Pelodiscus sinensis: one gene and its partners. The protein of the gene in region 1 purifies or fractionates together with the protein of each later gene. This does not show direct contact. Links are inferred from orthologs where the notes say so. Each region holds a gene or a part of one and is shown on either strand. Other genes may lie near its edges. The genes, in order: BCL7C, SS18, ARID1B and DPF2.

Evidence for each region.
Region 2: the proteins of BCL7C (region 1) and SS18 purify together in Homo sapiens (affinity purification with mass spectrometry; 3 studies listed by BioGRID and IntAct, counting the BioPlex papers as one, with this or other methods). This does not show direct contact. The link is inferred for Pelodiscus sinensis from reciprocal best matches to the Homo sapiens genes BCL7C and SS18.
Region 3: the proteins of BCL7C (region 1) and ARID1B purify together in Homo sapiens (affinity purification with mass spectrometry; 4 studies listed by BioGRID and IntAct, counting the BioPlex papers as one, with this or other methods). This does not show direct contact. The link is inferred for Pelodiscus sinensis from reciprocal best matches to the Homo sapiens genes BCL7C and ARID1B.
Region 4: the proteins of BCL7C (region 1) and DPF2 purify together in Homo sapiens (affinity purification with mass spectrometry; 4 studies listed by BioGRID and IntAct, counting the BioPlex papers as one, with this or other methods). This does not show direct contact. The link is inferred for Pelodiscus sinensis from reciprocal best matches to the Homo sapiens genes BCL7C and DPF2.

Annotation. Positions count from the first base shown.
Region 1 is NC_134714.1:134,097,266-134,104,594, forward strand, and holds the start of BCL7C (B-cell CLL/lymphoma 7 protein family member C), read left to right. Parts: upstream 1-4,327; 5' UTR 4,328-4,584; coding exon 4,585-4,676; intron 4,677-7,329. UniProt on the Homo sapiens protein: May play an anti-apoptotic role.
Region 2 is NC_134712.1:76,224,299-76,231,516, forward strand, and holds the start of SS18 (protein SSXT), read left to right. Parts: upstream 1-4,203; 5' UTR 4,204-4,403; coding exon 4,404-4,472; intron 4,473-7,218. UniProt on the Homo sapiens protein: Appears to function synergistically with RBM14 as a transcriptional coactivator. Isoform 1 and isoform 2 function in nuclear receptor coactivation. Isoform 1 and isoform 2 function in general transcriptional coactivation.
Region 3 is NC_134713.1:111,317,203-111,324,606, reverse strand, and holds the start of ARID1B (AT-rich interactive domain-containing protein 1B), read right to left. Parts: upstream 3,017-7,404; 5' UTR 2,462-3,016; coding exon 755-2,461; intron 1-754. UniProt on the Homo sapiens protein: Involved in transcriptional activation and repression of select genes by chromatin remodeling (alteration of DNA-nucleosome topology).
Region 4 is NC_134721.1:34,379,284-34,386,968, forward strand, and holds the start of DPF2 (zinc finger protein ubi-d4), read right to left. Parts: upstream 3,005-7,685; 5' UTR 2,990-3,004; coding exon 2,615-2,989; intron 1,430-2,614; coding exon 1,308-1,429; intron 1-1,307. UniProt on the Homo sapiens protein: Plays an active role in transcriptional regulation by binding modified histones H3 and H4. Is a negative regulator of myeloid differentiation of hematopoietic progenitor cells. Might also have a role in the development and maturation of lymphoid cells.

The DNA of each region.
Region 1 (7,329 bases):
TCGCCCCCCCTAGGGCCGTGGGGGAGGGGAGCCGCCGTCCCGTCTCTCCCTGGGCGGGCAGCCCGCCCCACGCTCCTTAGTTTTACTTCGTGAGTCTTTGCGCCCCTGATTAGGAGGCACCCGGGGCCAACGCCCCACCCTGGCAGGGGGGAGCCTCCGGCATAAACACATTCCTGAGCCGGCTTAAAGGGGCCGTGGGGCGGGAGGGGGGCACAGGTCCCGTGTCTCCGTCCTACACCCCTCTGGCCTCGCCCCCTGCTCCTCCCGCCCCCAGCGCTGCAAAGCCCCCTCCCCGAGGAGGAAGTAAGTGGGGGCGTCACGGTGCCCTGCCCGGCAAGAGCCAGCAGGGAGCTCTGGGAAGGGCTGGCAAGGCCCTGGGTTGCAATAGAACAGTACCTGGAAGAAACTCAGTTCCTTTCCCCCGCCCCCCGGCCCTCCACCCCCATATTCCCATTAGTCAGCTTTGGAGAGAGATGGTGGGGCCTAGTGGTTAGAGTGGGGGAGGCTGGGAGCCAGGAGTGCAGCGCTCCAGCCCAGCTTTGGGAGGGAAGCGGGGTGCAGTGGTTAGAGGGGTGGCTGGGAGCAGGGGTAACACCTCGGACCCTCCCTATGTGACCCAGCTCTGCGGAAATCCACAGACCCCCCCACCCGTCAGCAGGGGGCTTCTGGGCTTTCCTAAGCCTCTCTACGTGCAAAGACAGGAGGCAGCGAGGTACAGGGTCCACCGAGCTGCAGGTACACACCCCCAGCTGCGCCCCCAGCCCTGCCGGTGCCCCTCATTCCCGCCTCCCAGCCCTGCCGGCGCCCCTCACTCCCGCCCCCCAGCCCTGCCCCCAGCCCTGCCGGTGCCCCTCACTCCCACCCCCCAGCCCAGCCGGTGCCCCTCACTCCCACCCCACAGCCCCCACAAGCCCAGCCCTGCCCCTCACTCCCGCCCCCCAGCCCTGCCGGCGCTCCTCACTCCCGCCCCACAGCCCCCACAAGCCCAGCCCTGCCCCTCACTCCCACCCCCCAGCCCCCGCCAGCCCAGTCCTGCCCCTCACTCCCACCCCCCAGCCCCCGCCAGCCCAGTCCTGCCCCTCACTTCCACCCCCCAGCCCCCGCCAGCCCAGTCCTGCCCCTCACTCCCACCCCCCAGCCCCTGCCAGCCCAGTCCTGCCCCTCACTCCCACCCCCCAACCCCCGCCAGCCCAGCCCTGCCCCTCACTCCCGCCCCCCAGCCCCCGCCAGCCCAGTCCTGCCCCTCACTCCCGCCCCCCAGCCCCCGCCAGCCCAGTCCTGCCCCTCACTCTCGCCCCCCAGCCCCCGCCAGCCCAGTCCTGCCCCTCACTCCCGCCCCCCAGCCCCCGCCAGCCCTGCCCTGCCACTCACTCCTGCCCTCCAGCCCCCGCCAGCCCTGCCAGTGCCCCTCACTCCTGCCCCCCAGCCCCCACCAGCCCAGTCCTGTCCCTCACTCCCGGCCCCCCAGCCCTGCCCCTCACTCCTGCCCCCAGCCCAGTCCTGCCCCTCACTCCCACCCCGCAGCCCCTGCCAGCCCAGCCCCCCCCTCGTTTCCCTCACTCCAGACCTATAGCCCCCCCCCCCGCAGCAGGTTCCTGCCCGTGGGCGGCTGAGGTAATGGTGACCCCCCCAGCCTGCTCCAGGGTGAGTCACCCCAGCACAATGAGCTCAGTGTCTAACCCCAGGCCCCTCCATTGTAATCCCTGCTGAGCTACTGCCAGGATTAAAGGGGGGGGAAGGGGTAGGAGCCGGGACTCCTGGGTTCTGGGTCTAGGAATTGCAGCAAGGTGGGGAGGCCGGATATCCGGGCTCTCCCCTGACTGGGGGGGTCCTGTGGTGGGGGACAGGACACCAGGGCTCTCTCCTGACTGGGCAGGGATCTAGTGGGGGGGCGGGGAGGCAGTACACCTGGGTTCTTCTCTGGCTGGGGGCAGGATCTAGTGGGTGGGGGGTGGGAGGCGGGACACCTGGGTTCCTTGCTGGCGGGGGGGGGGATATAGTGGGGGGGAGGCCAGACACCCGGGTTCCTCGCTGGTGGGGGGGAAATAGTGGGGGGGAGGCCGAACAACCAGGTTCCTCGCTGGTGGGGGGGGATATAGTGGGGGGGGGGAAGGCTGGACACCCGGGTTCCTCGCTGGTGGGGGGGGATATAGTGGGGGGGGGGAAGGCTGGACACCCGGGTTCCTCGCTGGTGGGGGGGGATATAGTGGGGGGGGGGAAGGCTGGACACCCGGGTTCCTCGCTGGCGGGGGAGGGATATAGTGGGGGGGAGGGATATAGTGGGGGGGGAGGCTGGACACCCGGGTTCCTCGCTGGCGGGGGAGGGATATAGTGGGGGGGGGGGGAGTCGGACACCCGGGTTCTTCGCTGGTGTAGGGGATATGGGGGGGGCAGACATCCTCTTCCTCGCTGGCGGGGGGATATAGTGGGGGGGAGGCCAGACACCCGGGTTCCTCGCTGGCGGGGGGATATAGTGGGGGGGAGGCCAGACACCCGGGTTCCTCGCTGGCGGGGGAGGGATATAGTGGGGGGGGAGGGATATAGTGGGGGGGGGAGGCTGGACACCCGGGTTCCTCGCTGGCGGGGGGGGAGGGATATAGTGGGGGGGGGAGGCTGGACACCCGGGTTCCTCGCTGGCGGGGGAGGGATATAGTGGGGGGGGGGGGAGTCGGACACCCGGGTTCTTCGCTGGTGTAGGGGATATGGGGGGGGCAGACATCCTCTTCCTCGCTGGCGGGGGGATATAGTGGGGGGGAGGCCAGACACCCGGGTTCCTCGCTGGCGGGGGGGGATATAGTGGGGGGGGTGTCGGTCACCCGGGTTCCTCGCTGGCGGGGGGGGGGGAAATATAGTGGGGGGGGGTGTCGGTCACCCGGGTTCCTCGCTGGCGGGGGGGGGATATAGTGGGGGGGGTGTCGGTCACCCGGGTTCCTCGCTGGCGGGGGGGGGATATAGTGGGGGGGGGTGTCGGTCACCCGGGTTCCTCGCTGGCGGGGGGGGTGTCGGTCACCCGGGTTCCTCGCTGGCGGGGGGGGATATAGTGGGGGGAGGCCGAACACCCGGGTTCCTCGCTGGCGGGGGGGGGGATATAGTGGGGGGAGGCCGAACACCCGGGTTCCTCGCTGGCGGGGGGGGGGATATAGTGGGGGGAGGCCGAACACCCGGGTTCCTCGCTGGCGGGGGGGGATATAGTGGGGGGAGGCCGAACACCCGGGTTCCTCGCTGGCGGGGAGGGGGATATAGTGGGGGGAGGCCGAACACCCGGGTTCCTCGCTGGCGGGGGGGGGGGGATATAGTGGGGGGAGGCCGAACACCCGGGTTCCTCGCTGGCGGGGGCGGATATAGTGGGGGGGGCCGAACACCCGGGTTCCTCGCTGGCGGGGGGGGGATATAGTGGGGGGGAGGCCGAACACCCGGGTTCCTCGCTGGCGGGGGGGGGGGATATAGTGGGGGGAGGCCGAACACCCGGGTTCCTCGCTGGCGGGAGGGATATAGTGGGGGGGGGGCCGAACACCCGGGTTCCTCGCTGGCGGGGGGGATATAGTGGGGGGAGGCCGAACACCCGGGTTCCTCGCTGGCGGGGGCGGATATAGTGGGGGGGGCCGAACACCCGGGTTCCTCGCTGGCGGGAGGGATATAGTGGGGGGGGGGCCGAACACCCGGGTTCCTCGCTGGCGGGGGGGATATAGTGGGGGGGAGGCCGAACACCCGGGTTCCTCGCTGGCGGGAGGGATATAGTGGGGGGGGGGGCCGAACACCCGGGTTCCTCGCTGGCGGGGGGGATATAGTGGGGGGGAGGCCGAACACCCGGGTTCCTCGCTGGCGGGGGGGGATATAGTGGGGGGGAGGCCGAACACCCGGGTTCCTCGCTGGCGGGGGGGATATAGTGGGGGGGAGGCCGAACACCCGGGTTCCTCGCTGGCGGGGGGGATATAGTGGGGGGGAGGCCGAACACCCGGGTTCCTCGCTGGCGGGGGGGATATAGTGGGGGGGGCCGAACACCCGGGTTCCTCGCTGGCGGGGGGGATATAGTGGGGGGAGGCCGAACACCCGGGTTCCTCGCTGGCGGGGGGGATATAGTGGGGGGGGCCGAACACCCGGGTTCCTCGCTGGCGGGGGGGATATAGTGGGGGGGGCCGAACACCCGGGTTCCTCGCTGGCGGGGGGGATATAGTGGGGGGAGGCCGAACACCCGGGTTCCTCGCTGCCGGGGGCGGATATAGTGGGGGGGGCCGAACACCCGGGTTCCTCGCTGGCGGGGGGGGGGGATATAGTGGGGGGGAGGCCGAACACCCGGGTTCCTCGCTGGCGGGGGGGAATATAGTGGGGGGGTCGGGGTTGTGGGGGGGCAGGGGGTGCGGGACCCAGCCCGGCTCGCGGGGGTGCGCGTGTCTCTTGCGGAGAAGCCGGAGTCCCGCCCCCCAGGCCCGCCCGGCCCCGGCTCTGCCCGCGGAAGCCCGAGTTCGCTTCCGCTCCGCCTCCCGCAGCGAGCTCGGTCGGCGCGGGGCGGTTCTGCGCGGAGCCAGGGCCAGCGAGCCGGACCCGCGCGCAGTGACCCGCCCGGCGCCCCGGGGTCCCGTCCCCATGGCCGGGCGCACCGTGCGGGCCGAGACCCGCAGCCGGGCCAAGGATGACATCAAGAAGGTGATGGCAGCCATCGAGAGAGTGCGCCGATGGTGAGCGGCAGGGTGTGCGGGAGACGGGCGGCCTTGTGTGCGGCTGTTCCCCCGGGTGCCCTGCCCCAGAGCTGGCTGCATCTCAGAGCCGGGTGAGCTAGCCCCATGCGGCGTTATGTGCGGCCGTTCCCCTGGGTGTCCTGCCCCAGAGCTGGCTGCATCTCAGGGCCGGGTGAGTCAGCCCCCACGGCGTTATGTGCGGCTGTTCCCCCGGGTGTCCTGCCCCAGAGCTGGCTGCATCTCAGAGCCGGGTGAGTCAGCCCCCGCGGCGTTATGTGCGGCCGTTCCCCTGGGTGTCCTGCCCCAGAGCTGGCTGCATCTCAGAGCCGGGTGAGCTAGCCCCACACGGCGTTATGTGCGGCTGTTCCCCCGGGTGTCCTGCCCCAGAGCTGGCTGCATCTCAGAGCCGGGTGAGCTAGCCCCACGCGGCGTTATGTGCGGCCGTTCCCTCGGGTGCCCTGCCCCAGAGCTGGCTGCATCTCAGGGCCGGGTGAGCTAGCCCCACACGGCGTTATGTGCGGCTGTTCCCCCGGATGCCCTGCCCCAGAGCTGGCTGCATCTCAGGGCCGGGTGAGCTAGCCCCACGCGGCGTTATGTGCGGCCGTTCCCCCGGGTGTCCTGCCCCAGAGCTGGCTGCATCTCAGAGCCGGGTGAGTCAGCCCCCGCGGCGTTATGTGCGGCTGTTCCCCCGGGTGCCCTGCCCCAGAGCTGGCTGCATCTCAGGGCCGGGTGAGTCAGCCCCCGCAGCGTTATGTGCGGCCGTTCCCCCGGGTGCCCTGCCCCAGAGCTGGCTGCATCTCAGGGCCGGGTGAGCTAGCCCCACGCGGCGTTATGTGCGGCCGTTCCCCCGGGTGTCCTGCCCCAGAGCTGGCTGCATCTCAGAGTCGGGTGAGTCAGCCCCCGCGGCGTTATGTGCGGCTGTTCCCCCGGGTGCCCTGCCCCAGAGCTGGCTGCATCTCAGGGCCGGGTGAGTCAGCCCCCACGGCGTTATGTGCGGCCGTTCCCCCGGGTGCCCTGCCCCAGAGCTGGCTGCATCTCAGGGCCGGGTGAGCTAGCCCCACGCGGCGTTATGTGCGGCCGTTCCCCCGGGTGTCCTGCCCCAGAGCTGGCTGCATCTCAGAGCCGGGTGAGTCAGCCCCCGCAGCGTTATGTGCGGCTGTTCCCCCGGGTGCCCTGCCCCAGAGCTGGCTGCATCTCAGGGCCGGGTGAGTCAGCCCCCACGGCGTTATGTGCGGCTGTTCCCCCGGGTGCCCTGCCCCAGAGCTGGCTGCATCTCAGGGCCGGGTGAGTCAGCCCCCGCGGGGTTATGTGCGGCTGTTCCCCCGGATGCCCTGCCCCAGAGCTGGCTGCATCTCAGAGCCGGGTGAGCTAGCCCCATGCGGCGTTATGTGCGGCTGTTCCCCCGGGTGTCCTGCCCCAGAGCTGGCTGCATCTCAGAGCCGGGTGAGCTAGCCCCACGCGGCGTTATGTGCGGCCGTTCCCTCGGGTGTCCTGTCCCAGAGCTGGCTGCATCTCAGGGCCAGGTGAGCTAGCCCCACGCGGCATTATGTGCAGCCGTTCCCCCGGGTGTCCTGTCCCAGAGCTGGCTGCATCTCAGGGCCGGGTGAGCTAGCCCCACACGGCGTTATGTGCGGCCGTTCCCCCGGGTGTCCTGCCCCAGAGCTGGCTGCATCTCAGAGCTGGGTGAGCTAGCCCCACACGGCGTTATGTGCGGCCGTTCCCCTGGGTGTCCTGCCCCAGAGCTGGCTGCATCTCAGGGCCGGGTGAGCTAGCCCCACGCGGCGTTATGTGCGGCCGTTCCCCCGGGTGTCCTGCCCCAGAGCTGGCTGCATCTCAGAGCCGGGTGAGCTAGCCCCATGCGGCGTTATGTGCGGCCGTTCCCCCGGGTGCCCTGCCCCAGAGCTGGCTGCATCTCAGAGCCGGGCGAGTCACCTCCACGCGGCCTTGTGTGTGGCTGTTCCCTCGGGTGCCCTGCCCCAGAGCTGGCTGCATCTCAGAGCCGGGCGAGTCAGCCCCACGCAGCGTTATGTGCGGCTGTTCCCCCAGGTACCCTGCCCCAGAGCTGGCTGCATCTCAGGGCTGGGTGAGCTAGCCCCACGTGGCGTTATGTGCGGCTGTTCCCCCAGGTACCCTGCCCCAGAGCTGGCTGCATCTCAGAGCCGGGTGAGTCAGCCCCACGCAGCGTTATGTGCGGCCGTTCCCCCAGCTGCCCTGCCCCAGAGCTGGCTTCATCTCAGTGCCAGGCGAGTCAGCCCCAGGTGGTGTTATGTGCGGCTGTTCCCCCAAGTGCCCCACCCCAGAACCAGATGCATCTCAGCGCTGGGCCAGCCAGCCCCATGCAGTCTCGCTGGGTGGCTTTCCCCATTTATCCTACCCCAGAGGTGGTGCCATCTTCTTTAAAGTAACTCCTGTGGCCAAATGCAGGAGCAGGCTCTTAATTATGGCAATTAGTTATTCGTCCATTATTTAATTATTGTGTGTATTGTTCACCTCCCTTTCTCTATGGAAATTGCTTCTGAGATGTGACTAGCTGTCAAGTTCTTTACTCTGGATAATATGTCAGACAGTCATCTGCTGGACAAGAGAAGATAACAACTTACTATTGCTGCTCTTTAAGGGAGTCTGTATTTTAACTTGGGGAGGATGCGATTGG
Region 2 (7,218 bases), on another chromosome or scaffold:
AAGTCAGTGAGAGCATATGCTGTTTGTTCCACACTTTTGCTAACAAAGTACTTCTAGCCCCCATGAGTGGCTTTTGCTTTGTCAGCAGGAGAGCTCTGGTGCTGACAAAGCAGTGTTCACACATGCGGACATGTGAGGGAGGTTCAAGGGGCCACATGCCCACTCAAATGCCACAGTAGAAGGGGAAGAGGATATTAGGAGGGATCGCCCTCCACTCACTGGTGGCCGTGGGGGAAAGTGGAATAACATGGCTTCACTCCCCAGAGGCTGCCACAGCCAGTGCTGTAACCAGCTAATTTTGCGCCTGAGGCAAGAATATAAAATTGCACCCCTTCATGTTTATATATTCATAGTAGTTATTTCGTAGAAAAAGGGAAAATAAACAATAATAATAAAATAATAATAATACAATGTTTATTTATTATAGTTGAGATCTGCATAACCAATCAATTAATACATATATATATATATATAATTATAAAATATCACCATGTCATGTACTATTAGGTAATCGTTTTTAATTGTACTTTGCACACTTTTTATGAGGCAAACCCATCAATAATTGTGTTGTAATTAATATTATTCGCTACCTCGTGTTCTATTGATAAAATGGGACATATTTGATAATCTCTCCTGACCTGTGGATGCTTGAAGGTAGTTCTTAATTAATTTTAGTTTACTAAAACTTCTTTCAGAAGAAGCCATAGTCACTGGCAAGCAGAGAAATATTTGCAGGGCGATTTCAAAATTTGGATAAGATTCGGCCAGACTATATTCATAAATTAACTGTAGAAGGTCCAAACTAGTTGCAGATGAAATGTTTGGCAACAGCGCTAATGCCTGATGTTTAAAACTCTGAATCTCTGACAAAATTTCCGAGGCATTCAAATCGCTGCCATATTTAAAACTTAAATCTGCTGCTTTTTGAAGATTAGTAGTATCCATTTTAACAAAAGAATCTCCTGATAAAAAAATTGAAATCCGAAGAGCTCTCATTTAGCGTTTCATATCTCCAGTTTTAATTCAAATATTATGCAGTTAAATATGCTTTTATTTGTATTTTGAATGATTCTTCAGCTGATAAATTAACACTTTCATCTTGTGACTCAAAGCTGTTGTCTTTTAACTTTTCACTTTCTGCATTCTGTAAATTCTGCTGATATTTCTATATTTTGGACCGTTTTTTTACAATCAGTAAAAATATCTTCCACATAGCTCTTGTTTCCATGGATCATCTTAGAAGCCTGACAAACAGAAATGCCTTTTGCTTGTAACGCTTTATTCATTCTGGCAATGTGAGTTAGAATATTATGCCAAATGGATAACTGCACAAAAACTCAAAATTAATTTTTTAAGAAAGTTATTAGCTGCTAAAACTGTTTCAGCACATTTAGATGAAGCAGCAACATCATTTAGGACCTTAGTAACTTCTGAAATCTGCAAATTTAAAGCTGCAATTGAATTTGCTTTTGATGCCCATCTAGTATCAGCATGACCTTTTAGTGATACTTTTAATAAACCCATTAAAATATTCCAGCGGGTGGTAGAATTAGAAATAAAAAGTGTTTATTTTTGTACAGTGCCAAAGAATGAAACCATAGAGGAATTTACAGAAGCTGCATGTACTCCAACGAAATTGAGACTGTGGGCCAAGCACGGTACACAATTTGCAAATTTATTTATTGCAGAATGACAGCTTTGATGCCTTTGTACATGCCTGACATATTTGCACCATTATTGTACCCTTGGCCTCATGCGTTTTGAAGATCAATTCCATTCTTTTCAAACGTCTTTACTATTTCTTTGGCTAATCCACTTCCTGTTTTTTCCTTGGTCTCAATAAAGTCTATGAAACTTTCTTCTATAGTTATGATTCTATCATCAATTTTCACAGCTCACAATCTGAGATATTTGATCACGATGAGGTATATCTGGTGTATAATCCAGAAGCATAGAATAATATTTTGCTTTTTTAAAATTTTGGATATAATTTCAATTCGAACTTGGTTTGCTATTAACCCAATACAGCCGGTCCCCGAGTTACGAACGGTCGATTTATGACCGTTAGCACTTATGACCAAACCTCCCATTAAGCGGTCGTAAAGGTGGTTCCCGAGTTACGAACGCAACCCACGCTTATGAACAGCGCAGTCGCATGTAACTTAATGGGTCCGACTTATGAACACTTCGAGTTACGGCCACGTGTTTGGTTTGTAACTCAGGACCAGGTGTAAACTCATTTTGGATAGCCAGTGAAAAAGAGCTCACCGAACCTTTTTGTGAGTTACAATATGTTGTTTTAGTTCAACATCATAATGACTTATAAATTCCATTAGATTAAGAAATATTCCCGAATTAGGGTTTCCTATAACACTACTCAATCCTCTAAGTGGAAGATTATTTTTGGCACAAAAAATCTAGAATTATTTTCACGATATGTCTCCATTTTTGCTTATCAGCTTCAATAGCTTTTTTGTAGTGCATCATCAATATATTCTCTACTCAATCTTTTTCGCATGGATTTCCATTTACAGAAATTTTCATGACGAATGCTTGAATTTTCATGCTCTACAATACGGTTTAAATTTTTCAAAGCATTAAATCTGCTGGTTTTCTGATTTGCAATATTCAGTTTGGAAAAACGCTGATCAAATAATATGCATGGAAAACAAAAAAATGGCCTTACTAGTTTCAGAATAAATAAGCCAATTGCGCTCTAAAATTCTTCATTATAAAGCACTTTTTAAAACCAATCACCTGAAAATTTTTGGCCCTCTGATGATACTGATTCATGAAAATCCATGGTTTCTCTCTCGCCAGGTGCTTGTTCAATAAGATGGCATCTTATTTTGTCATTTATAGAGAGCCAAGATGGTGGATTGTTAAAATTTATTTATATTACAGTTGAATCTTGTTGATAGTCCTGGTCATTGTTAATGTCAATAATCATAATTGGTGACAAAGTTGAGACCTTGAGATTGAGCTTTTGGTCAATCTCAGAGTCAGAGATTGATGCTGAAGCTGTAATGTCAAGTTCCAGTTGCTGGTCTGTGGTAATAATCAGTACTGAAGTTGTATGATCATTGTCATCCGAGGGTTCAGCTAATGGTGCATTTTCAGTATTCAGTGCATTTTCCACTAGCCATTTCCCCATTTCTCTCAACATCTTTTCATTTTTCTCTCATGGTGAATTTTTGTCATTTAAGAAACTCTGCCCCAGAAGGTCATTTCCATTTGGAATTCATAATGTAGGATCTTTTTCTGAGTGGCCTAAATTCCGGCCTTGTTACGGCTCAGATGCAAAGCATATTTTACTACACCACCACTCAAGGGAGAGATGAGACACTCCCCTGCCCCACACCAACCAGAAGCAGAGCGACTCTGCTGGCGCTGGGATTGCAGGTTTGTGTCACTCCCCTTCCCCTACCTCCACCACCAGCTGCTAGTCAGTGCAGAGGCCTGGACCCCTGCAACGGTGCCCGACCACCTACTAGTCCCCCAAACCACATCACTGGGGCGGGCGGGAGAGGTGGGACAGGGTCCAGGGCAGGAAAGGGAAGAGGCTCAGAGATGTTATCCCGTCCCCCTCCTTCAGCAGTCTCCCCGGCACCTTAGTCGCTGGGGAATAGGGAGGTTAAGAACCTATAGACAACAACATTGCAAGTGCAGACTTTCCCCCTCCAGCCCCAGAAGCGACACCAACGTGAGTGCACGACTCCTGAGCAAGTCAGTTCCCAAATAAAACCACCTGTCCCTGCGCAAGTTGCAGCAGCTCCCGCCCGGACCCTTTAGAGGGGCCAGGCTCCTGCCCCAGCGGAGGGGATGGAACGTTCCCGGGGCCGGGACGCAGCAGCACGCGCTCCCAATAAGTCTCCTGCCCTCACTGCAACTTGCACAAGCCCCGCCCCGGGTCGCTCAGCCCAGGAACGTAATGACTAGGCGCAACCAAGACTGGGCGCGGGGGAGGAGGGGAAACGAGCCACTTTCTCCTGTAAAGTGAGCACTTCCAGCTCCCCCAACTCCCGGCCGTACCACTTGCAGCCTGTCTCAGGCTGAGAGCTCTGGGTAGGAGTGTACCATATTAGCAGGGGGGGCGGAATGCGCAACGAAAAGGACGCGCTTAAAGCAGGCAAGCGGCTGCTTCCTGTCAACGAAGCTGCTGCTCGCTAGGGGGAACGGGAGGGTCCCAGTTGTCGCTGGGGTTGCCACATGCGGTCGGAAGGCGGAGGGCAGTGGCAGCGAGGCTTGCACCCCCTCTTCTCGATCGGGATGGGCTGGCCCTGCGAGCCGTCACGCCCCCTCCCTCTCGCGGCGGTGAATGTTCTTCCCTGATCGCAGCCTCCTCCCGTCGCTGCTTGGCGCGCGGCCGGGGCGCTGGACCCTCGTGCGCGCAGGGAGCCGACATGTCGGTGGCGTTCGCGGCCCCGAGGCAGCGGGGCAAGGGCGAGATCACGCCGGCCGCCATCCAGAAGGTGAGGGAGGGGCCGGGCCCGACACGGGGCTGCTTCCGGCCCGGCCAGGGGGCGGCGACTGGCGGGGGCTGGAAACACGCCGGGGCAGGGCTGTGGCGCTAGGGGCGGAGGGCCCCCTGGGGAGGCAGGAGTGCGGGGGGGGGGCTGCGGAGGGGCCCCTGGGGAGGCAGGAGTGCGGGGGGGGGGGGGGGAATCTTCCCCAGGTGTGCAGAAGAGCCCTGGGCGCCTCCAAAGCGTCTCTCTTTCACCCACCCAAGTTGGTTCAATAGAATATTTTAAACACCATCTCCCCCCCCCCCACCATACACACACACACACACACACACTGCCCGCTCCACACCGTGTCTCTTAATTGGGGTAACGGGTCAGGCCAATAACTACCCCAGAGGTGTGTATTGGTTAACTGTCATATCTCACCTTTTGGGATGAACAGGCTTTTATCACTTCGGTCTTTGTCCAGTGCTTATTGGTGAGGTTAGACAAAACTACAGCGTCTCAATTTAGTTTTATTGATCCCTTTAAAAAAAAAAATCTTGCCTAGTAAGGAGGAGAGGTGGTTTGAGCAGAGCCTTGAGACTTAGGGTGCCCCTTAAGATTGTGATGGGCAAATACTGGCCCACAGGCTAGACTTGATCTGCCATAGTTAGCCTCCGATGATCGCTTTTCCCATCGGCTGTGAATCACTTCTTCCTGGCCACTGGGAAGGGTGGGTAAAGGTGTGGCCTGGACACTGCTTCCCACATCTCCCATTGGCCGGAACAGCAATCTTCAGCCAGCAGGAGCTGTGATTGCCAGTGCCTCTGGAGACACAGGTAAATATAGCGGAGGAAGCCTGTCAGGGTATAACCCACACTGTTTTATTGCTCACCCCTGCTCTAGGTGCTATTATAGGCACTGCTGATATCTTGGTATGTGCTTCTGTGATTAAAGAAAATCACCTCACTGTTTACCCCTTTCTCTAGAGCATTTATAAATAAGTTGGATAGAATTAGTCCCTGGACAGACCCTTGGGGGACCCCACTAGTTGCCTCTCTCCACTCAACATTTACCATTTATTGCTACCTTTAGTTTCCTTTTAACCAGTTATCAGTCCATGAAAGTACTTTCCCTCTAAGAATACTATATCCACTGCATCCCTCTTGTCCACATGCTTGTTGACACCACTCAGAGAACTCTAGTAGATTAGTTAAGGCATGATTTCCCTTTACAGAAACCATGTTGTCTTTCCTTCAACAAATTATGTTCATTTATGTGTCTGACAATTTTAGTTTCAACTAATTTGCCCGGTACTGACATTAGACTTACCAGTCTGTAATTTCCAGGATCATTTCTAGAGCCCTTTTAAAATATTGGTGTCACGTTAGCTATCTTCCAGTCACTAGGTACAGAAGCCGATTTAAAAGATAAATTACAAACCACAGTTAATAGTTACGTACTTTCACATTTGAGTTCTGAAAGAACTCTTGGGTGAATGCCATCTGGTCCCAGTGACTTGTTACTGTTAAGTTTATCGATTTGTTCCAAAACCTCCTCTGGGACAATTACTCAGATTTGTCACTTAAAAAGAATGACTCAAGTTTTGGGAATCTAAGACCGAAGCAAAGAATTCATTTAGTTTTTCCACAATTACCTTATCTTTGAGTGCTTCTTTGGCATCTCCATTGTCCAGAGGCCCCACTGGTTGTTTAGCAAGCTTCTTGCTTCTGATGTACTTAAACATTTTGCTATTACTGTTTGATTTTTTTTGACTAGCTGTTCTTCAAACTCCTTTTTGACTACTTATATTTTTTACACTTAATTTGACAGAGTTTATGCTCCTTTCTATTTTCCTCACTAGGATTTAACTTCCACTTTTTAAAACATTGCCTTTTTATCTCTTACTGCTTCTTGGTTATGTCAAGTCATGGTGGCACTTTTTTTGTTTCTTTTACTGTTTTAAATTTTGGGTATACATTTAAGTTGGGACTCTATTATGGTGTCTTTGAAAAGTTTCCATTCAGCTTGCAGGGATTTTACTTTTGTCACTGTACCGTTCAATTTCTGTTTAACTAACCTCCTCATTTTTGTTCCCATTTATGAAATTAAATGCCATAGTGTTGGACTGCTGAGGCATTTTGCCCACCACAGGGATGTTAAATTTTATTACATTATGGTCACTATTTCCAAGTGGTCCAGTTATATATACCTCTTGGACCATATGCTGTGCTCCACTTTTGACTAAATCAAGATTTGTCTCTTCCCCTTGTGTATTCCAGAACCAGCTGCTCCAAGAAGCAGTCATTTAAGGGATCAAGAAATTTTATCTCTGCATCCCATCCTGAGGTGCCGTGTAATCAGTCAATATGGGGATAGGTGAAATCCCCTACTATACTGAGTTTTTTATTTTGATAGCCTCTCTAATCTCCCTTAGCATATCATAGTCACTATCACTGTCCTGATCAGGTGGTCAATAATATATCATTACTGCTATATTCTTATTATTGGAGCATGGAATTACTACCCATAAAAATTCTATGGAATATTTTGGCTCATTTCAGATTTTTACTTCACTTGATTCTACATTTTCTTTCACGTATAGTGCCACTCCGCCATGAGCATGACCTGTTCTGTCCTTCTGATGTATTTTGTACCCTGATATGACTGTCCCCCATTGATTACTTTCATTCCACCAAGTTTGTGATGCCTATTATATCAATATCCTCCTTTAATACGAGGCACCCTAGTTCACCCATCTTAATATTTAGAC
Region 3 (7,404 bases), on another chromosome or scaffold:
ATCGGGGATGTGTATATTAGTCAAAACAAGCAGAGCTCTCAATATCTGGTTCTGTTTATTTAAATAAAGGATTCTTCCAGTCTCTTCATCAAAGTATGGATTATTTCAAAAAGGGAATAATAATACTTATGTATTATATTCACTTTACAAATAACACTTATTTTCATCTCATCCCGGTTGGATGCTTGAGGCAAATATAAAAGAAGAATACACCACCTCAACGCCTACCAAATAAACCTTCTTGACTATGGCACTCACCCTTCCAAGAGCCAAGGCAACCTGGCTGTATTTTTGCTGGATTTCACCATACTGTCTTCATCAGCAATACAACTAATTTGTTAAAAGGGTATCAAAGTTATCTGCTTGGTCTAAAAAAAAAAAAAAATTCTAATAGAGGGCAGTCAATGTTATTTTCCAGAATCTGACAGTGTAGTTACAAAAGCAACTCCTCCCTCCTCACCCAAACTGCTTTTCCTCGGGGCCTTCTATCTTCAAATCTGTTTCAAACTGGAGGAAAACTTTATACAGTTCAATTTTGTAAGCGAATAGTGCAATTCTGCACAGTGAAACCATTTGTCGGATGCCTCCAATCAATCGGACACTGTGTCTTACCAAACCCTGTTATGGAGGCAGCAAGTAGTTTATATGGCCGAGAGGAGGAAAAGTAAATTGGAGAGAAACTAAAGCACTAGACACACATTCAAAACATACAAGTGGGGAGTGTTTTGGGGTGAGGGGGTGTCTGGTGGTTTACCTGGGTTCTGCTGATGGTCTGACCAGTGCTTCCAGGGCTCATAGCTGGGTGAGCTCTTTGTTGTGCTGCTGCCCAGGCTGGGCTTGCAGCTCCATACTGGGAGCCCATGTCTTTGCCCATGCCCATGCCCGCTGCTGCCTGCTGGCTTCCCGGGACTGCCCCTGCTGCCTGGGCTTGCGGCTGCTGCTGTGGTGGGGCACTGGGGTTGCTGTAATCAGGGTAGCTGCTGCCATAGCTCCTCATCATGGGGCTGGGGGAAGTGAGCAGCTGGTTCAAGGTAGGGGTGGCTCCGGACGGGTGCTGGTTCTGCCCGGCAAATCTCTGGAAGCCTCCAGCCCCAGAACTCGCAGCAGCCTTGCCCAGGCTGGCCCCTCCGCCCGGGCCCATCATCATGCTGCTGCCCTGCTGCCGGGGGGAGCTCAGCACCCCGTAGCCAGAGGACGAGCCCCCATAGCCGCCTCCTCCTGCTGCTGCTGCCGCCGCTCCTCCCGCTGCGGCGGCGGCGCCGGGCCGGCCGTAGCCGGGGTAGTGGTTGTACTGGCTGTTGGGGTAACCCTCGTGGGAGTTTTGCAGGGGGTCCATGCTGTTGGGGGCCGCCGTGGGGTGCATCAGCCCCATCCCGGGGCTTTGTTGTCCGCCATGTTGATCAAAGCAAGGCCCGGCTCGGCTCGCTGTAGCGCTGCTGGCAGGGGCAGGGTTGCCGTAATAGCTATTAAACTCCGAGACACCCACGGCGGAGGGGCCGCCGCCTCCCCCGCTCCCGCTCCCGCCGCCGAGGCTGCTAGTGCCGCCGCCGCCGCTCCCAGCGCTCTGAGGCGGCTGCTGCTGCCCGCCCAAAGGTCCCAGGCTGGGGTGCTCGTAGCGGCCGCCGATCTGCTCGCCCATTTTGCCGGGCAGCTCTTCCTCCTCGCCCCCTTTATTCAGCATTTGCTGCGGCGGCGGCGGCGGAGGGGGCTCGGCCTGATTTCCCAAAACACCGTCTTTTCCTCCATGTTGCTGCTGCTCCATGTCTGCACTGGGCTGAGCAGCGCCGCCACCGCCGTTGTTGTTGTTGCTGCCGCCGCCGAGGCTGTTGTTATTCTGCATCGGATGGTGCTGAGGCGGCGGCGGCTGCTGGAATTGATTTAGCTGCTGCTGTAGTGCATGGTGGTGGTGGTGGTGGTGGTGGTGCGGGTGGTGGGCATGGTGGTGGTGGGCATGGTGATGCGGGTGGTGGGCATGGTGGTGGTGGGGAGGTGCGGCAGGGTGATCGCCTCCAACGTTTTTCAGTTTGTGGTTGGGGAGCAGCCCCGTCTCCATGGCCGAGCCCGGGTTAGAGGCGGAGGAAGAAGAAGATGAAGGTAACCCCGAGGAGCTTCCACCTTCTTTCAGAGCCGACTCCGAAGAGGAGCTACTGCTGCTGCCGCTGGTGCTGGCGTTGTTGTTGTTGTTATTACCGGTGGCAGCAGCAGCAGAAGTTGCATTATTGGCCATGTTCAGTTCATTATGGTGGTGGAGGAGATGGTGATCTACATTATTCAGGCTGCTGCTGCTGTTAGTCCCATCTCCGACCCCCAGCATGGAGCCCGCTCCGGGTCCCCCGGTGGCCGCGGCGGCTGCTCCCCCCGAGTTGAGATCCTGGCTCAAGTTGCCCGGCAAACTCGGGGTTTTGCCCTTGTTGTTCTTCGCACCCGCCGGAGCCGCTGCTACTTGCGCGGCCATGATCATTGCAACATTGCCAGTCCGAAAGCAAAAATCCAACACCCACCCTCAAAAATAAAATAAAAGCGAAACGGGGTGGGAGGGTGGGCAAAGGAGGGGAGAAGGGCAAAAAGAGAAAGGGGGGGGGACCAACTTATTTGAATAAACAGTAACCCCTCCTGATCACTCCACACACAAAAAATATATATAAAAATTCCCCTCCCCAAAGTCCGTGATTGAGATTAGAAACAGTAAGAATGTCTTACGGTCTGTGCCTGTTCCTGCTGTGTGATTTCATGTTGAAAGTTTTTTGTTCAGGTTTAAATGAAACTTTTTTTTCTTTTCCTCTCTAACCCGGATATGGGTAAATACACGTCTGACTGAGCCTATCTGGCCCAGCATGGCATGAGAGAGAGAGCGAGCTCTAACAACTATTATCCACTTCTCTCTGATTACTCCTGTACACTTGGAAAACGCGGACTGGACTTTCCCCTCCTCCTCCTGCAGCAGGTTTAGCGGTGGCAGTCAGAGAGAGACGCGCATTACAACCTTCAACAGCCCCGAACCAAGACAGCTGCTTCTGCTAATGCAAAAGGATGTACGCTCCCTTTTTGTATTTTGTGCCCGTCAAGCATCGTAGTAGTTAGAGATGGAAAAAATCTATCACTCAACTCCCTTGCAAATCTAGGTTATAGTCTTCCACAGAGAATGGAATATTAAACTGATTGCTACAAATGATCTTACCCAAAAAGGACAACTAAGCATCACTGGGTGGGTCAAATTCAGGCCTGGTGTAATTCAACTGAAGTAAAAGTTGTTACATCATGGATTAATTTGGCTTTCTGCCCATGTATTTTTGGGGTGAGAGCTGAAGGTGCTCATCATAACAGCTTAGTAGACAAAGAGAAAATCCAACACATTGTTGGCAATATATTTTATTGGATTAAAAAAAAAATTGGTCAAACTTTCAAAATCTTTTCTCTGTTTTTCAAGCCAGTAGGCAGTCTAAGGTTTTCTGATTTCAAGACACTAAAATGTATTGCCTACAAATTGTTTTATGGAAAAATAAAAATACTTGTAAAATGTTCAAATTAACACAAAATTCAGTAGTAATGGCATTTTTTAAATTATCTGTAGTGTCCAGCTGTTTCAAAGTTCTAATGATCATTTGTGCTAATGATGTTTTTAATATAAGCATTACGTATGGAGCTTTTTGGAACATGTTCTCGTATTTATATGCAGATTACAAGGCTCCCAAGGAAAGTCCTATAATTGTGTCCCGAAACAACATTATTTTCTAGTATATCTAAGACACTCATGAAAATGTAGTAATATAAAATACAATATATAATCAAAGCAACCATTACTCCTAATGACTTAGATTTATATAGCAGATTTCTCCAGCTATTGCTAGTTAATTTTTTAAAATAATTGTCTTAATATAAGTAAGAACTTGATCAGGAAAACGTAACAGTCAAACACCACATTCAGCTAATAAAAGTAGTTGGAAAATTAAATATTCTTCCATGGACACAAGTAAGACAGGATATTGATGGTATTTAGACAATTTAATAAGAATCTAAAATGTTATATGAAATAAATATTTTATTAAAATCTGTTAAATAGCATTTTCAGCTCACTAAATAGACTTTTTAATACTGACAGAACATAAAACATAACTTGTCATAAATGATGATGTAATGAGTAGGAAGTGGGATTTTTTTATTTCCACTGTGAAAACATTAAAGAACAGACTCTTCATGACAGCATGTTGATAAATGTATGAACAATGTGAGTTCAATGTCCATTGAATTTTCCAGCATGGTTCTACTTTGTAAAAGTCTCAACATTCAACTACATGTTGATATTAGTTCTATTTTAATTCTTTCTCTTTTTTTTTTGTTTATGTTTTTGCACTCTCTGTAAGTACAAAAATGCTAAATAGTTAATAGAAACTGATAGAGTAGAAAAAAAATCAGTGAATAATTCTAGTGGGGGGAATCAGGTGCGTTCCCAAGGGTCATTACAGTCTGTAACAACAACAAATTGCAGTTCTATGCAAACTGCTAGAAAAGGGGTATATCATCTTTGTAGAAGAGAGAGTAACAGAACTGTAAGATGAATTCATGCCAAATCATTCATCAGCTTTTGCCAAGAGAATACTACATCTTTGTTAGTGAGCTTTTTTGACATTTTCTCCTGGATTTTCTTCTTTTTTATATTCAAACACATACTAATTATACACATTAAACCACATAGGTTGATTTTTAAGGCTTTCATATGCAAATATAAATATAGATGTCTTCTTGTGCATATTTATTTATATGTATATTCTACAATAAAATATAAAATCAATTACACATTTATGCTTTTGGGCACTTATATTAAAGCAAAAATATAAGTATATATATATATATATATATATATTTACAAATCTGATAAGATGTATTGAAGGTAGCTCTTTTGAGGATTTCAATACTTTGACTCATTTCACTAGTTCTGAATAAAAAAAAAAAAGCCACGAAGTTTAATGCTGATTTACTTTTTAAATATTTTTCCTGGGGAAAATAATGAACCTCAAAAAATGAAAAGTTTATTCTTCTCGGTCTTTTTCATTACATTTGTTTTAACAACTCAGCTACAAGATTGGAATTAAGACTGTAAAATAGAGGCCCTCAACACAATGAAATCAGTCTGCTATAAAAGGCAACACATGCCAGTTTTTCCTCCCCAATGGCAGATGCCACACCCGAAAGCAGACAGAAGGCACTGCAGTCTGTGCAAGTGAAGCACAACACAAAGCAACTATGGTTCAGTTTTGTTTTTTAGATCACAAATAATGTTGAAATATCTTGTACCATCTTTGCTCAGTTGATGAGTGGTAGTGTATGTTCAATTCATATGATCCTTTCCAAAAGCTTTCTCTGTTGTACAAATTAAAAATATATATAGGCATATAATGTGAAAAGCTGTAATTGTCATGCGTGGTGTCTGTTACAAAATTATGAAATCTAATGCTTAATGCTACAAATACATGATTTGAATGTTATATTTCAACTGCATTTTTTATAAATGTATATTAATTAAACACAATTTCTCTTTCATATGCTTTGTAGTATGCTGGATGTTGATTTTTCTGATAAATTTAAAACTCCTTTATTTGGGATCCATTTCCAGGATTAACAATATATTTTTCTAAATTTACTGTTTATTGCACTATGACATCTATATAGATTCCCAAGACATCTCTGTATAGCTGGTCCAATATGAAAGCCCTACACATTTCACAGCACTAAAGCAGCTATCTTTTTGTTTGGTCAGAACAGTGGCTTCTGAATGTTATATAGAGTATAAGCCAATATTTTGACAATGCTATGGTCTTATTGTTAGAGAAGGTAGAGAAAATAACCATTTTGTTTTGGGGTTCTATATTTTTATAGTAAGGGTTAAAAATTAATGGCCCAACCAGAGTTTTACCACCTTGCCACTTTGTTGTGTCCTACCCAGTTAACCACTGTACTCTGCAACATTATTTTGCTTGAAGTCTCTGTTTGGATTTAACAGTTTGGTCTTCTAGTTAATTCCCCTACACATCTAGGTAACGCAGATCACAAATTCACCATATTTTCCCTATTCTAGTTATTATAGATTTGCAGTGATTTAAAGGGGGGGGGGACCATAAAAAACCAAGATTTAAATTTTCAGAATTATTAAATTAACACTTCTTTCACTGGTTAAAGGCCCTATCCAAATTATATTGAAATAAATGTATTGGTTTCACTAGGACAGCGATCAGATCCTAAACAAAACAAAAAACAAAAAGAGTTAAAATACACGTACACACATAAGTACAGAGTACTGTGCTTTGGTTTAGCTTTATGTGAATCTCAAGGTGAAGTCTGCATTGTAAGTCACAGAACAAATGCAATGAGACATCACTAATTTTTATTACCTATATTGATTTTATATATTATTAATTAATAGGATGTATGAACTATTACAATCGAGTAACGGACAATATGCAATAATCTGCTTAGGTAAAGTACAATATTTCATCCTATCTGATCTTAATATATTTTGAAGTACACAGTGTTTACCAAAAGCCTAATGTGTGAGAGTGACACATTTTGCCATTTGATTAAAATCCGTTTTTCAGATACCACTTATAATGGGGAGTTTAATCAATTTATTCTGGCTGTGCGTAACCAAAAGGCCTCCAGAACATTACTATCTTCTTTTCAATAAAATCATTCATTATTTCATTAGGGAATTATATGAACAATTGTTTTCCTGCAAGATTTAGGTCCAAAACAGTAAAATATTTAAACATGTGCTTAATTCTACACGTGAATAATCCCATTGAAATCACTAAGATTATTCACTTATTTCAAGTTAAGAGCTTGGTTAAAGTGGTTTGCTGAACTGAGGCTTTTTTAATGAATAGTTTTTGAAGCTCTGTACTTCAGTGAAACAGCATGAGCAATTTAAAAAAAAAACAAAACAGCTTTACACTTCGCACTAATGGAGGGCTGCCGAGTTCTCTCATTCTGAAATCTATGAACTTTGATAGAACACCCTAAGAATTTTGTTTCCTGTGCCATTGTTTGGAAACAACATTGTATTTCTTGGGAGTGTAAGAAAAAGCCATACATCCTGTCTTCAAAAGAATGGTAATTCATGGTCACATTATCTTTATCAGTGTTGTTTTTTGTTTTAAGTGAAAAATGTAGTTGCAGGTACTACAGCCCTCAAAATCCTCTTGTCATTTATTGTTTTCCATTTTTCCTTTACTTAACATTTCCTTTCTCCCCTTGTTGCTATGTAAGGGTGTGTCTTGACTACACGGTTTTTTCAAAAAAGTGGACTTTAAAAAAAACCAACTTTCCCTGCATTTAGACTGCTGCGGTGTTCTTTCAAAAGTAAATCGAAAGAGCGCGGCAGTTTTTTTGACCGCAGAAAACCTCGTTTTA
Region 4 (7,685 bases), on another chromosome or scaffold:
TCATTACAGGTTGAACCTCTCTAGTCCAGCACCGTTGCGATCTGACTGGTGCCAAACCAGAGAATTTGCCTGATCATCAGAGGACAATATTGTCTAGCAGCATTACCAACAATTCCACTGCTTACTGGGCTCTAGAAGACATTTAAGAGTAAATTAGAGCTAAGTAACAGCACAGAACACTGGAAGCCAGGACTGTGGTGGCCGTAAACAAACTTTATGGGACCGTGGGAAACTTAGCCACACACCCATGATAAGTGAACACGGGGCTAACTAAAATCATCCCAGATCACGGATGCTGCCGGAACAGAGAGGTGCCGGACTAGAGAGGTTCAACCTGCAGTTACAAAAATGCCACGAGAGACCATATTAGCCTAGCAGCACAGTGCGATGGGGAGGGATTGGCATAGCAAAGCAGATGGGCTTTGGGAGCAAGGCCAACCTTAAGAAGTTCTTTATTCCAGGACGCCCAAGATATTAGCTTTGTTAGTAGCCAATAATGTGCCAGCATACCTGCGATATCTAGGTGCCAGGCAGTGCAAAGTCAGGCTAGTGGCAGGTATTCCTATGGCAAGCACCTGCTGCTGGCTAAGTTACAGAACGCCAGTGACACCGTGCAGCATTTGAACTTGCTCCTTGCCTTGGCCAGTTGGAGAGGAGAGAATCATCCAAGAACACGGGGGAAACTAAAGAAGGTAAAGGTAGGACCAAACTTCTGAACCCATAAAACGAGTCTAACTGTAAGAAGAAAACAACAAATGGTTTGGTAGCATTTTACAGACTAACAAAACATGTCTATAAAGTGCTACCAGACCATTTGTTGTTTTCTTCTGTAACAAACTAACTCAGCTACCCCCTGAAGCTCCTGTAAGAAGAAAGTAATGCAGGTTAGTGGCTAAGATGTGGCTGAGCATCAGAAAAAAATGGGTTCTAGGCTCTTCCCCTCCCTTTGCCAGTTCACTGTTTCCACTAACACCTTTTATCTGCTCTGTGGGTTTACATGGTATACTTTTTGGAGCAGGGTCAATATCTGTCTGTACAGTGCCAGGCACAGTAGGATCCCATTCTCTGTTAGGGTCTCAAGTTGCTACTGAAATATAAATAATAATGTAACAAATACTTTAAAAGAGGTAGTGGGCTTAAATGGCAGCAAGAGTGGTTTAAATTGGACATTAGGAAAAACTTCCTGTCACATTAGTTAAGCATTGGAATAAATGACCCAGGGAAACTAAGGAATCTCCACCACTGCAGATTTTTAAGAGCAGATGACAAAAACAGCTGTCTGGGTTGATCCAGGTACTTTGACCTACCTTTTGGGGTGAGATGGAAGTTTCCCTTTGGGCCAAGTAACCTCATATTTGTCTTCTACAAATTTCTTGCATCTTCCCCTGAAGCAGCAGGAACTGGGCAATGTAGAGGCAGGATCCTGGACCTGATGGTAATTTCAATATTCTTACATTGGGCTAGATTCTGCTCTCAGGAACAAAAGAGTAAATGGGGTCCCATGGAATTACTCTAGATTTACATAGAAAGAACTAAGTGGAACATCTGTGTGGTTACCCAGCTATCGCCATACCCTGCCTGCTTCTCATTTACCCCAAGGCTCTTATTGCTCTGCTGGTGTCAAGAGGTCTAATGTAAGAATCAGCCCTTTATCCCCTCATCTGGAACATGACATCTATTCAAGCATCTCAGTTTGCCAAAGATATTCTAAAGATAGTTAATTATAAACTTCACAGTTGGTTTCTAAAATTATGTAAGACATGTTGCTGGATGTAGATGGTGCCAGATGTAGATAGTGCTAGATGGAGACATATAATATAGGTGTAAAACAAACCCTCCTGGGGACCAGCAGAGCTTTATATAGACGATGATGGGTAAATGATACCCTGAAGTCCAGCTCCAAATGTAAAAGGCAGTTCCAGACACCCACAGCTTGGTTTAAAATGTGAGAGCATTAATTTCCCCCCATCCCTCTTGTTGCAAGCCCAAAGAGCCAACTTCACAAGTTTTACTGATTACAGATTTCACACACACACCCTTGGAATCAAATCCCCTGGCAGTGAACAGCTGGAATGAGACAGGAGGGGATCCCATTTCAGTGCCAAGCCCGCTGCCTTCAACAAGGAAGAAAAGTGGTAGCAGCGACCAGCCTGCAGAGCAGGAAAAGGCTGCCCTCCTGGCCCCCAGAGCTAAGACTCTGACGCTTTCTAGGTACTGAAAACAACGCTCAAACATTCTGGGCCTCATGGTCGCACCCTGACAAACAGGGAAACTGAGGCAAAGGAAAATATGCCACTACCACACCCCCGCCCCCACCCCAGGGAGCCATTGCAGTGCCTGTCCTGCCTCCCACAGACGGGAAAGGAACCCAGGAGTCCTGCCTCCCAGCCCCACTCTGCTCTAACCGCTCGACCCCACTCCCCTCTCACGAGAGAGACCGGAGCCCAAGCGTCCTGACCCGACTCGCGCCTCGGGAGCAGAACCCAGGAGTCCCGACTCTCCGCCAGCTTCGAGCTCCTTGGCAAGTGAAACTGCTGCGGTGGGTTAGGCGGCACCGCCAAGCACCGACCGCCCCGCGCAGCCACTCCCTACCCCCCCCCCCTTCCCGGCTCACCCTCTGCCCCGGCGGCGCTGGCGGGGGGACTCCTGCTCCGAGCTGCAGCCAGCGACCGAGTGAGCGGCAGCCGGGCTCTTCCTTCCCCACCCTGCTCCTCGAGCCAGCGCACCAAGGGCTGCCCCCCCTCCTCCGCGCTGCCGCGCGGGCCAATGCTAGAGCTGCACTGCAGCCCGCCGGAGAAGCGGCCTGCAAACTCCTCCCCGGGCCAAGTGCACGAGCCAGCCCCAGCGAGCGGGCAGACTGATTCGTGGAGCGCGCTAGGGCAGGCTTTGGGCTGCCCGTCCAGAAAGGGCTGCAAACGGGGGCGGACTGTTTAGTGGTGAAACTTGCCCTCCTCTTTCCCGCATTCTCAGAGGGCGGCGTCAGCTGCATGCCTAGAATGACCAGTGCCCCCGGCGTCCACGGGGACGGATCGTGCACAAGATGCAAGAGGAAATGTAGGAGCTTCCTCCTGGGATTGAAGGCTAGTTTTCCGTATATCTAAGGAGCATGGTTTATCTGTGCATAGTATCCATAGATCGTCTCTGGATAAAAAGGCGTGGAGAGAGCGTGAATAAGATGCCTAGATAAAAGATACAATTTTCAAAAGCTCATAAGTGACTTAGGAGCATGCATCCTGTTGAACGTCAATGGGACTTTGCTGCTAAGTGATTTAGATGCCTTTGAAAATTCTTCCCAAAAGAATTTCAATTTCTGTACATAAAAGGCAGATCCCCTGGGAATTAAGGGAAAAGATTGGCCCTGTGCCTAAACTCTGTACAAGAGTATGGAGTCCCTGTGTATGAAATGCATGGCTTGTGGGTAAGAGATGGACTTTAAGAGGTCCCTAAGTAATTTAGGAACACAGTCCCATTGCCATTCAATGTCACTTCTGCTCCTAAATCACTTAGGTGTTCAGAAATTTGAGAGTCAGAATTATGAGACTGTCTTGAAAATCATGAGATTCTTTTAAAAATTAATTGCAATTTTTTTAAAATTTACCTTCTGCATTCTGAATATTTCAGATGCTCTCATTTCCAACTTCTCTACAGCCATTAGGGTTAGACACTTACCTTTTATTCTTCTTAATGGAAGCTGAGATTCTCACGCATTCTCTTGATTCCAGTCAATGTGACTTTAGGGAAACCACCAAAATCACAAGAATCGTGAACAAATCACAAGAGTTTTTCAACACTGCAAAATGCATGCACCCTCAGTTAACAAAATGCACAGATTGCCACAGCATAAAAAGTGCTGAGTCTCAAAGAACAAAATGCATGGTTTATGCATGAAGTGCTTGACCCAATATGCCTGCTGAGTGTTTCCATTGACTTCAAGAGGCTTTGGATCAGACCCAGAGTGCATGGATTCTCTAGGGATCCAGTGCACAGAGCTAAGCAAATTAGTCATCTAGCTAAATAAAAAGTATAAATCAGTATGCCTGACATCTCTGTAATTTCTCGGCCAACTTTCACTGGACAAGCTGCTCGAAAGATTGTATTTAAGTTGAGCCTTTGCCAACCCCAGCTGGAAATAGCCTGAGTATTTATTTACATTAAAAACTCATATTGTATCTCCATCTTCATCAGCATTAAACAGTTTATCTGCATAAAGAAGATGCACTGATAAAGGTTTGGTGATGCACCCATTTGGATAAACCGTTGAACTAGCCCTATGAGATTTCTTCTTGTGTAGGCCTAACAGAGGCTCTGGGGGCATGTCTACAATAGGAAATTATTTCAAAATAAGTTATTTCAAATTAAACTCCCAAAATAATAATTTCGAAATAGCATGTCCACGCTATGAGGAAGCCTCAAAATTAGTCCGAGGCAGGCTCCGTTAATGTGGATGTGCTACCTTGACTTAGAGGCCCACGAAGCACTGGGGAATAATTACTTTGAATGACTGGGAAGTAGATATTTCAAAATAGCAACAGTGGAGCGTCCCTACTGCTATTTCGAAATATCTATTTTGAAATAAGCATCAATCCTCATGGAAAGCAGGAGTTAGTATTTCAAAATAACCAGACTTATTTCAAAATAACGGACTTAATAGCGTGAACGCTCCACTTATTATTTCAAAATAAGAAGAGTTATTTCTAAGTAACTCCCTAATGTAGACCAGGGCTGGGAGATTAAAACTCTGTACCAGATCCTTAGTTGCTGTAAATTATAATTCAGGCCAATGGCGTCTGATCTACTTTAGTTGAGGATTTTAAGAAGAATGTTCTTACTTTTTGTCATTAGCAACACGTTAGGTTATTAGAGGAAAACAGAGGTGTACAAAATGGATGGACTAGAAGAAGATGAACAGAAGAAAAATGTAACATCTACAGAGTTGCCAGATGGTTTCAACAAAAATATCGGACACACTTGACATTACATCACAATCTACATTACATCTTATTTAGAAAATACTGGACATTTATATTTTCTCATTTATATTCTCTCAATTTGTTTCCCAAACAGAAAGCTCAAATACTGGACTGTCCGGTTTAAAACCGGACACCTGGAGACCCTAAACATCTACACTGGAATTTTCATAAATTCATAGAGTTTCAGTCTGACCTCCTGTACATCACAGGCCAGTCAATGTCCCTCACCTACTCCTGCGGTGAGCCCAGGATCTGGTTTTTGACTAAAGCATAATTTAAGAGGCTATACGCCATCTTCTCGAAAGGCATCCAGTCTGGATTTGCAGACACATCCCATGGGACTTTGTCAGTGCCAGACCGAGCCATACTTGCGCCCCGGGCAGCAGGTGCGCGGCACACGCGCGCCCTACCCCCGGGCACGAGTCACCTAATTGACATGGTAAGGGGCGTCGTGCTCCCAGGCGAGCGGCACATGCGCGGCCACACCCCCGGGCGCACCGCACCCCTTACCACTTCAATCAGGTGCCCCCCAAAGGTTGGCACCCCAGGCAGCTGCCCAGCTAGCCCCCCTGCTCAATCCGGTCCTGGACTTTGTTCCAATCACCTTTTGTGGTTAATTGTGCCTAATTTCTAATTTGAGTTTGTTTGACTTGAGCTTCCAGCCATTGGTTCTTGTTCTGCCTTTTCAGCTTGGCTAAGAAGCCACTTGGTACTCTGATGTTTCCTACCTATGTCACACTGTAATCAAGCCACCTTTTTGATAAACGCATTGAGTTCTTTCAGTCTCTCCTTGGCAGGAAGTGTCTATAGCCCTCAAATCAGTTGTGCGCCTCTTTTCTGGACCTTCTCCAATATTCCAACTTCCTTTTTAAAATGTGGACACTAGAATCAGGGTCACTGAGAGCTGCCAGCTCTTAATAATTTTATTGCAAAACTTGAAAAATGGGATGTTTTCCTTAAAGCCTATTTCTCTAGTCATGTGATTACACAAGACTCTCACATTTCATTTTTTTAAAAGGACATTTCTAACCCTCCTAGTTCAATTCTTGAAAACATTACCTCTAAAAAGCCCCAAACCACATTTATTTATGCAGGGCCACAAATCACTCCAAGGAGAAGATGCTGTTTGTTTTACTCCTGGCAAACGTGACACTTTTCTGAAGCGATAAAGGCATCAGAAAGTTGGCAAACAGACACTCCACACAGTCCCAAGGTACTGTGTCTTGCTGGGTTTCTACATGTTGGCAGACTCACACAGTGCAAAAAACACTTTGGAGGTTCCTGTGAGGTTTATATCAGCCACTCTGTCCAATTAAACATTTGTTACAAATGCTGATTGTTTTCTCACACTGCCCATCCAGCCAGACAGATAATTTAAAATAAAAGCCTGTAAACGAGATTATCTGTGCTGTGAATTTGTCTCTCTATCCAAACCAATAATTTACAGGGCTGCCAAAGGAAGTCGCAGGAGCACCTATCCCATTGCTTGTGTTGTTACAAAATACGGGTGCCATCTGCTGCAGCAAAGATGCTGCTCAGTATAGCTGCTGGGACACAGACCAGAGTGTCTGCCAGGGCAGAACATGGTGACCGATAATGATCCTTTGTCTGCCTGGAGTGTTGTCATGCAAGCATCTCAAAGTATTTCCCATTGGGGGAAAATGGTGCTTTGACATTACTCACCAAGTCTACACTGCAGTTAGACAACCATAGCTGGCAGCTGACACAAGCTATGGGGCTGTTGAAATGTCATGGTTTCAGAGGGGTAGCCGTTTTAGTCTGTAACCGAAAAAAAACCCCTCTTAAAAACAACGAATAGTCCTGCAGCATTTTATAGATGGTATCATGAGCTTTTGTGGGCACAACCCACTTCTTTGAGAGGTGTTTGGGGCAGAGCCCAGGCTCTGGTACTTTCCCACTTCACAAAGCCCAGGCTACGCCCAAGCCCGAAAAGTCCACACTGCATTTAACAGCCCAAGTTAGCTCACATAGGCCAGCTGGGAGGGTTTAACTGCACTGTAGACATCTCCCAAGTCCGTGGTCCCCAACACGGTGCCCGCGGGGGCACTTCCATGCGCCCGCCAGGTGCTCGGGGCTGGCCTGGCACTGGGCGCATGGCGGAGGGAGTGCCGGCCCCGGGCGCGCGGCGCTGGCGGGGGGGAGCGCCGGCCCCGGGCATGCAGCTATGGGGGGGGGCCGCCCCCAGGGCGCAAGTGTCCCTGCCCCCTGGCGGGCGAACAGCCACGCCCCCTGGCGCCCGACAACCTCGAAAGGCTGTCCTAAGTGGTAGAGTTGGGAATGGAACTCGAGTGTCCTGGCTCCTAGCTCCCTATTCTAATCACTCCTGGTCACATACCTTGCTTGCTATATGGACCACATTGCTAAAGAAGCTTATTTATTTTGCCAGCACTTCCTAAGCTCAGTGATCATTTCTGAGAACAAATACATGGATTTCAGAGGAATTGGAGGCAGAAAGTGAAAGCAACATAGTCTAACTTGTGGTTCTCAAACAATTTAGCATCGTGGGCTACTCTGCAACTCACAATGTAGTTCCTGGCCCACAGATTGAGAACCACAGTGAACAGCCCAACAGCCCCACCAGACCCCCATGCCCAATGCCCTGGCTTGCCTATCAACTTCTCCACAGAGTGGGGCCAGGAGCAGATGCCAGGCACAGGGCAGGGGGCAGCCCCTACCCTCCTGATCCTGCCACAT